2 linked regions of the Drosophila melanogaster genome follow. The protein of the gene in region 2 interacts with the protein of the main gene of each other region in a pairwise test. Each region holds a gene or a part of one and is shown on either strand. Other genes may lie near its edges.

What was found. Proteins that work in one complex are often made in the same cells at the same time.
Region 1: the proteins of ACXA (region 2) and Mst57Db interact in a two-hybrid assay, tested with the Drosophila melanogaster proteins (one large-scale study listed by BioGRID).

The regions. Positions count from the first base shown.
Region 1 is NT_033777.3:25,830,211-25,832,912, forward strand, and holds Mst57Db (Male-specific RNA 57Db), read right to left. Parts: upstream 705-2,702; 5' UTR 695-704; coding exon 572-694; 3' UTR 510-571; downstream 1-509. Other genes in the region: Sfp96F (seminal fluid protein 96F), read right to left, coding at 1-1; Mst57Da (Male-specific RNA 57Da), read right to left, coding at 1,439-1,666. UniProt on the Drosophila melanogaster protein: Transferred from male to female during mating and may affect egglaying and behavior after mating.
Region 2 is NT_033779.5:12,919,324-12,925,999, reverse strand, and holds ACXA (adenylyl cyclase X A), read right to left. Parts: upstream 4,910-6,676; 5' UTR 4,887-4,909; coding exon 4,785-4,886; intron 4,734-4,784; coding exon 4,593-4,733; intron 4,539-4,592; coding exon 4,379-4,538; intron 4,227-4,378; coding exon 3,446-4,226; intron 3,309-3,445; coding exon 3,208-3,308; intron 3,154-3,207; coding exon 2,808-3,153; intron 2,746-2,807; coding exon 2,295-2,745; intron 2,235-2,294; coding exon 1,873-2,234; intron 1,816-1,872; coding exon 1,721-1,815; intron 1,670-1,720; coding exon of another isoform or gene 1,657-1,669; coding exon 1,505-1,656; intron 1,457-1,504; coding exon 1,312-1,456; intron 1,242-1,311; coding exon 739-1,241; 3' UTR 547-738; downstream 1-546. Other genes in the region: ACXE (adenylyl cyclase X E), read right to left, coding at 108-248, 310-381; ACXB (adenylyl cyclase X B), read right to left, coding at 5,102-5,634, 5,707-5,845, 5,900-6,051, 6,117-6,211, 6,270-6,631.

The DNA of each region.
Region 1 (2,702 bases), on a different chromosome or scaffold from region 2:
TGTCTATCAGAAGAGAATAGAAATAAAACACAGACCCGGTTTTTATATAGTTTATAAGCCAAGTGTTGCATAAGCCAAGCGAATCGTTTAATTCTTTTAAACGGTGGCCAATTTTAATATCGTTAAATCATTTTTCTTTCGGTCGTACGAAAATCAAATCTTTTGAATATTACATTTGGTAAAATTGGTTTTGCTACATTTGGTTTTGGTACATTTGGTTTTGGTACATTTGGCATTGGCACCTTTGGTTTCGGTATCAGCGCTTTTTGAAACACTTGCGTTTTTAGCATAAAATATATATATTAAAATTTATATTTAATATAATTAGGCAAAAACATCTGATATACTGTCAGATTGTGACTAGTCGTAAAAGCCATGACCATTAATAAGTTTTGGCCAAACAAAGCTTCGAACAAAAGGTTTATGAAAAAATATATATGGTATATTCTTGTATACTAAAATAGATTTAATATTTCAACTTAAAATAAAATAAATAGGCCATTGCTATTACATGCAAACAATTAAGTAAATGTTTTATTGAATTCTGTGCCTGCAATTATCAAAAGCTCATTTACTTTGCGGCGCTGGGACTATTGATGTGGATCACATTCTTGTTTTCGTTGGTGTTCGGATCCGCAGATTGGGCGAAAGCCACACCGGCAAAGAGCAGAACAAGTGCAGAGGTGATCTTCATGTCGGCCAGTTGGAATTGGAAGTAATGACAAGCTAGGGGAGTGCTCTTCTTATAAGGCCTGGGTTGCGTAAGCGATACTAATCTAAATGCCAGACAATTTGAAATTAATTGCACGATGAAAGAAAAAGAAGTGGAACTAATTCCTTAAACCCGAGACATAATAGACCGATTACAATTTAAATAACACTTGATTCCTTTTGTCAATCTGACAAACATTTATATAATCTGAACTTACCTGGCACGGCGATAGAAATCTTTCTTGATTTCATAAAATTAGTATTAGTCTTTAGCAAGCATTTTTAAAAAGCACGCCAATGAAATTTACTAAGCCGAAAAAAAAAGTTTCTTCTTGAATTCAAATTCATAATCACACCTGTTTCAGAAGGATATGAGAAAGCAGTTGTCTGGTTACTATCTACCACAGTTCTCAATGACTTGTCGTGATAACAATAGTCAGTTAAAATAAAATTATTATTTTCCCAACAATATTGGGAAACGTAAATGAAATTTACTGAACCGAAGATACCTTTTTGTTGTTTGAATTCCAATTCATAATCACACCTGTTTCAGAAGGATCTATGACAGCAGTGGTCTGGTTACTATCTACTCCCATGTCTGGTTGGGGTTTCAAAAGTCAGTCCATGTAGTTTAATATTGTAATACATAGATTAAACACTCTCATAAACATATATTGTGATTAGCGATCCATTTTATTAGAAGAAAATAACCTCTGACTCATAATATTTAACTTTCGGCTGGAGCATCTGCGAGTCCTGCTTCAGGAGCAGCTGGAGCTGCGGCAGGAGCTGCGGCAGGAGGTGCGGCAGGAGCAGCAGCAGCTGCTGCGGCAGGTGCAGCTCCTGGCTTCTTGGCACCGATGACGATGACGTTGTGATTTGTATTCTGGCTCTTTTGGGCGCTAACCAAAGCCAGAACAACCAGCAAAGTGACGAAAAGAGCTAGGAACTTCATATCGGCCAGTTGGAAGTCAATTTAAAAGAAATGAGGAAATGCAAGACCGCTTATATAGGCAAAAAAGATCGCCAAGTGAAACAAATCTTCAAATTCGACACGCTTGACCTTATTATACGTGGTTCATTCGAGGAAAATAATGTAATTATCATTGGCATGTGTTTGATTATGCTGATATATAAAAAAAGGAATTAAGTGGAACCCAAGCATAAGTTACTTAAAATATAGAGCATAAGCTTTCAAAATATCATACAAAATATTTTTTTCTTGCATATTGCTGTTACAATCACAATTTCGTGTGTGAAGTGAAACGAATTTGGCTGTTAGTTAACCGTAAGCTACGACGTTGAAGTGCAGTCTAAAAATCTCATAATGAAAGTGTCACGAACTTTAATCGTTGTAGGTTCTCTGCTCCTGATTCTCAGCATCGTATTAACCTACAAATGGATAGCATACAATCATGCTTACCCGAAAGCACAAACAGAACTAACGAATTCGACGAAGAAAGCAAATCTCATCGATAGCAAGGCTAAGAATAAAAAGCACGTGCAGAATTCCTTAGCCAAAAAGGCAGCCAAGTCGGTGGCCAACCAATCCAAGTTCAAATTGGACAAGGTTTCTAAGAAAATTCCAGTCATACCCCTGCTCGATGTTCTTAAGGCCAAAAAGCAGCCAAGTCGTGGACAAAATATATTCTTCCATGAAACCACGAATTTCAAGCGGATAGAAAAGAGCTCTGTGGTCCAATTGACGGCACGGGAGGCCTGTGCCATTGAATCGGCCGCCCTTCACAATCCAGGCCTCACTGTATTTGTACTTTTTGCCGGCGCCACTCATCGCCCATCAAGTGGAGATCCGCTGATCAGGGCTGTTCACACATGAACACGAATATATTTAAAGACTTACAATTTTGGGCTCCGTTCATATCTTATGTAAATGAATCGAGAGCGATAAATTATATTTAGGATTTTGTTATCTAAGGCGACATGGGTGCATTGCTCAAAAACATGTAATTTAAGTGCACACTACATGAGTC
Region 2 (6,676 bases):
TATATAAAAGAATTACAAGATGGAAGAAAAACATCTCATTTAATGGTTTTTTAAATATGTTGTGCAACTGTTGGTCTAAAATTGTATCTAGGTTAGGCGGTTCTTACCTCAATCGTTGCTAAAAGTAGGGCACAGTGCACGGAGGTAACGAATATATGCAGCATAAAAAAAGTGAGTAGGTAACTCTTCCAAAGCCGTATCCGATACAGTCGAAACTCGCTCTCCAAACGCAACTCTGCACATTTAGCCTAGAATATTCGGACATAGAATATTAATAAAAGAATTCCAGGTCCAAAGACTTAATTTTACCTTGAGGTAGCCAGGTTCCCACATGCGTTCCTTTGAATAATTAAGCTGACAATTTCCTAGGGAGCGAGGCATTTCGTTTTACCAGCTTATCTTACCTGGCTTTTGTTTTCGATTGACAAGACTCAGCAGAACAATTTAAGCATCGAACACACAGCCTACTTTAACCAGATTTTTCGCTTTATAAAAGGAACTTGTTGAACCCTCCAAAGGATTGAAAAAAATGGGACAAAACGTTCTAAGGTATTACAAATATGTATTTTCCACATAATTTTTACAAGATTTGAGTCCACATCATTTTGTAAGGCTACGCATCTCAAATTTTACAGACAAGAACTACGATCTCAAAATTTGAGAAACGAAGCCTTCAATATGCATTTGCGATTCGAATTCCATATTGAGAAGAATTTGCCGAAAAAATTTGTATCTGTCTTAGGAGCCGTCCAGGTCATGGTTTAGATCTGGATTAGATGGGTTCTCAGAAAGTCTATCGATTTTCTTGGACATGAACTTTAGGTCTTTATCGATGCCCACAAAATAGGTGGGAATTTCACCACGACCCTTCACAAAGGTTAAGCCGCGATAATAGCACATAACATCGAACTCCTCGAGCGTTTGGGCAGTCTCCTTTGTAACCTGTATATGTCCAGACAAACCAGTCGATTCCATTCGGGAGGCCATATTGACCGGGTTCCCCCAGATGTCGTAGTGCGGCTGGGAAGCGCCTACCACTCCAGCCATTATCTGACCCGTAGAGATACCGATCCTTATCTCGCCGGTGGACAAAGCCCGATCAAATGGTTCTCCGGCGTAAGCCTTGTTGCACACCGACAGAACGCGCATCAGGTCCAGAGCAAACGTAGCCATTATAAAAGCCACCTCATCATGGTTCTTCTCTTTTATAGATGACTCCAAACGAGAACGCACCTGTTCTACTGAATTAATCAAATATACCCATATCACATTAGAAGACCTATATTAAGAACCAATGCATTTGGCACTTACATTCGGATGACAATGATGTACTGCCAAAATTCGAGTTGCTATCAAGGTTTTCAATCAGGCTAAAGTCCAATCCACAGGCTGCCATATAAGTGCATCCGACGACTTTGATCTTCTCGACTACGTAATATTGCTTGTACGCAGAAAGCTGCAATCGGAAAGTATAGTATAGTCGTAAATTAAAATCAATACTTACCAATCTGTCGAACGCTGTGATGATATCATTTAGCACTCTTAAGCTGGGCAAATCCATTTGAAAGTTTGTGAGCATGGCAAACATGACTGATACCATTCGATAGTTTTCATAATAGAGTTCGTGTTTGGCTATAGAGCTGAGATATACCTCGACTGCGAAAGAGAACTAAGAACTGAGATACTAAGCTTCTTGGGGCGATATTCTTAGCAAACTGACCAACATGAGATGGAAGAATGTTGTTAAGCAGGATTATGATGGACTGGTTAGTTACATCGGCCGATTTTTGCTTGTTTTGCAAGTCCAGGTTGAGCCTGCAATCAGTTAGGAAAATCAGTAAATCAGCTGATTTAAAGAAAGTATTTGCTTACTTGTAGTTCATTTTAGTGTTGAACTCTGACTGACGCTCCTTAGCGTACATAGTAATCAACATCATGCACACCCTGCAGGAATGAGCTATTTCAGCCTTTAAATAGGGCGATGTGGTAACACTGTGCTCGAAAATGAACGCGTACTGGAAACACACAACCAGGACGAAAACCACTGCTTCGGCGCAACCGATAAAGGTCTTGAGGGCGAAGGGAATGCGGGCGAAGGTGTAACTCATTCCCAGGATAAGGGCCATCATGTTCGTATAGGCCCAGGGGTGGAAGCAGGTAAACGGATCCATGTCATAGTTGTAGAGCTTGCTCTCTATAATGTCCAACTCATATTGGTCCTTTTCACAGCTCATCTTTGGGCATACAAAAAAATATATATATATATTAAATACATGCGTTGTTTCATAACTCACTAATATCAAGGAGATCACCATGTAATAGCACAATATTATCATCATGTAGACAGTGAGGCGAAGGACAAAACTGTGCTGGATCTTTTCAAACAAGTGGAATATGGCGCAGCTGAGTTTGCCGTAACTCCTGTGCTCGTTTTGTCCACTATGCCACCAGCACACTTTCTTGTACCAGCAAATGAATAGTAGGAAAGTCAGGACGAAAAACGCGATAATGTTAATGACAACACCCGTATAAAAGATATCTGAGTTGTTCACGGACTGGATATAAATAAGACAGCAACCAATTCCCCAGCCGAGCGCCACTGAATATTTAAAAATATAATCGGGCTGATGCAAATAATTCCATTCCACAGATTTGTCCTTAAATGCGACACAAAAAATGCCCAAATCGCGTTCGACTTTCTCGTTTTTCAAATTTCTTTCTCTTCGCGACCAAGGGAATTGAAATCTGCGGTAGTAGTTCGTTATTTCATTGCAGGTGCACAATGCACAGTTTTCCCCACAACTCACTTGAAACCCCCCACCGGCATCTTTCTAAATTCCTCACGCATCTCATGGGACAGTAAGTTAGGCTTCAAAATCTGTGATTTTCGGTTAGATCCCACGGTTTGAAGGTCCAGGTTAGGAACGCCCTCAACTATGCTAATTGTTTTATCCGAATCGAGGGATGGTATAGCGGTGAGGAGGTAGGTGCTCATCGGATGTTTCTGCAGTACGGGATCCTTCTGGGCCGATTCCGTGCCCGGATATATATTGTATTCCTCAGCGTTCAAGCTGCTCAGAGTTCGTCCACTAACATGCACATACCCGGGACTTCCGGTTGCTTCCAGACGACTGGCAATATTCACGTCGGCACCTGGAAAACTCACGAATATGTTTTGTGTCATTGATTTGTTGCATCGTACCATACCCCATATGTCGTACTGTAGCTTGGCCTTGCCGATTACACCTGCAAACAAAGTTCCCGAATGGACACCAATTCGCATGCCAATATTCAAAGAACGATTCACACTGCGGACGAAATGGTACTCAAAATGAAAGCCAAATTAGAGCAAAATAACTAAAAAAAAAACGAATCCCTTTCTGCCGATGTGGGACGCCATAAATCATAGATTCTAAACCTAATGGGATCATAGTAATCAACATACCTCACCTCCTTAATGTTAGCAATCATGGAAATTCCCAGAGACACAGCCATGGTGGCGTGATCAGGATCAGATTCCCCCAAACCCGCCACACAGTAGTAGCAATCGCCAAGGAACTTGATGCGCTGCACCTTGAAAGATAAGGCAGCCAAATCAAATCTGGCGTAGAGGTCGTGCAGGACCTTCACCAGCTTCTCCACCGTCAATGTTGTGGTCAATTGGGTGTAGTTCACCAGATCAGCATAAAGGATACTGACATCGTTGTGAATCTGGATGGACATGAAGTTTTCTGCTGTCCGCGAAGTGCCCAGATGGTAGAAGTCGTTATCGGGCTGTATGATCTTTTCCTTAATGCTTTTCTGAATGGGCTTCGCAATCTGTGGTGGAAGTATGCTATCCAGCAGCAAGGATTCTTGACGGCGAGCTTGGCGTAGCCAAATCTCCTCCGTAATGAACTGGTATCGGTCCAAGAACGACGAGCGCACCATGGTGTCGTTCATGATTCTGAAGAATATTCCCATCATATTGAAGCCCAGGTAGTGAAAAAAATCGATTGATACTATATCCAGACCATGAACATATTTAGCAACATTATGCTCGTTAAACGCCATGAAGTGAATAAAATATATCACATATGTTAAACTAACAGATATGGCTAGCAGAGCTGCTGCCTTGCTCGAAGGTATTGGCAGGAACATGTAGATCATGCAGAGCACAAAGACATCGTATAAGGTATTAAGAGGCCAGTTGGATTTGTAATAATAATAAGTGTTAAAGGCTATATCTGAAAACAAGAGAAAACACTATAGTTGAGTGTATATGGAAAGAAGTTGTGGATTTTAAGGATCGACTAATTATCATTGAATCTAGTACAAACACTCTACAAGTAGCTGGTGTAACTATAATATAAGGGCATATTTAACTTCTTAAACTTACCACCCAATACCACAACATATGCCGACAAAGTCGAGGTGAAAGTCATGACCCATCTGTGGCGGATTACAAAGTCTTCAAAGAAATTTATGCTTAGTAGGCCCGTGACTAAAATTAATGATCCCAAGTCAAATATCGCATTTATATAGATGTATTTTGTATACTGCGTAGAGTAATATACGTCAAAATAACTAGATCGCCAACTGAAAACGCTTACCTCGGTAAATGACCATATGATTACTTGAAGAGCTACGATCAGTAGTATTAACATGGGGACAAAAACGGTAAGGGAACTGATCATCAAACGAATCTTATATTTCATATATTCCTCCTCTAAGTGCAACTCCTTACATCTGGCCTACGAATATCTGTTGCATTTAAGAAACGGATATCTGAGCAAATTTCTTACCTTCAAATAACTTTGTTCCCAAAGGCGTTCATTAGTATATTCCAGATTACATCGCCTAAACCTTTCCCTGTACGGCGTTTTGTAAGTGTTTTTTTTGTTCATATTTTTAAGTAGTATTTTTTTTACGTTTGAGTTATTGTATGAATGAGAACTAGGTTCCAGGACTCAAAGCCTGCTTAGACCCATGAACCTACATTTAACTTAATTGAATGTCATTAACCTTTATTTTACATATTATAACATATGATATAAATGATTGAAAATATCTTATACGAGGTAGCGTACAGAATATAAATCTCTAAAAATTTTAAAAAGTATTAAATGTATTCACTTGAAGTTGTACTTCGGCTGTGAACTGGCACTAGAGAGGACAAGATTGAAAAACGCTTTGACATATTGTTCTTCTTCACATTTGAGGGCAAAAACTTCAAGTTATCGTCGATGCCCACAAAGTAGGTGGGAATTTCGCCACGACCCTTTACAAAGGTCATGCCACGGTACATGCACATAATATCGAACTGCTCGAGAATATTGGCTGTCTCTTGCGTCACATGGATGTGTCCAGGCAGCCCTGTCGATTCCATTCGAGAAGCCATATTCACAGGGTTTCCCCAGATGTCATAGTGTGGCTGAGACGCCCCCACAACTCCGGCCATTATTTCACCCGTTGAGATTCCGATACAGATCTCTCCGGTAGATAGAGCACGATCGAAGGGTCTACCAGCGTATGCCTTATTGCAGACGGAAAGCACTCTCATTAGATCCAAGGCAAACGTGGTCATTATAAAGGCCACCTCATCGTGGTCATTTTCTGTGCCTTTGGACTCTTTGCGATAAAGCACCTGTTCCACTAAAAGAAATGAGTTTATTAACAAAATTTAAACCCTTCATCATTGGAAGTCCATCAAGAGGGTGTACTTACATTCGGATGAGTAAGAAGCATGTGTTCTGCTTCCAAATTTTGACTTAGCCAGGGTAAAATCAAGTCCACAAGCTGCCATATAAGTGCAGCCCACGACTTTAATCTTCTCGACGACATAATATTCCTTGTAGGCATTTAACTGGGTTCGAAAGTGATGATACCTTATTATCTAGAAATCAATACATAAGCTTACCAGTCTATCAAATTCTGTTATAATATCGTTTAAAACTCGAAGGCTGGGCAAATCCATTTGAAAATTGATGAGCATGGCAAACATGACGGACACCATTTTATAGTTTTCGTAGTACAGTTCGTGATTGGCTACTGAATCGAGATAAACCTCAACTGTGGGTGAAAGCGTGTTTGATAAGAACCCTAAGCTTTGGGCTTGTATTCAGGTAAGAACTGACCCACGTGGGAGGGAAGAATGTTAGTGAGTAGAATTATGATGGATTTGTTCGTGATGTCAGCCGCTTTTTGCTTGCCTTGCAAATCCTGATTGATCCTGTTAACAAGGCGAAAATTCTCTTTATTGAGAAGTAGAAAGAGCATTAAAAACATACTTAAAGTTAATTTTCGTATTAAACTCTGACTGACGCTCCTTTGCGTACATCGTGAGTAACATCATGCACACCCGAAGACAATGAGCTAGTTCCGCCTTCATAAATGGTGTTGTGGTGGCACTGTGCTCGAAAATAAATGAGTACTGAAAGAATACGATAACCAAGTAAGCAACGGTTGCGCAACATGTAATGAGCATCTTTAGGGCAAATGGAATTCGGGCGAAGGTGTAGCTTACGCCCACGATCAGGGAAATCATGTCTGTGAAGACCCACGGATTAAAACAGTTGTCAGTAACAATGTCATAGTGATAGAGCTTGCTATTGATAACATCTAGCTCATATTGATTTTTGTCACAGTTTAGCTGAATAGAATGATAAGATTCGTTAACGCAAGGGTGTATACTTAG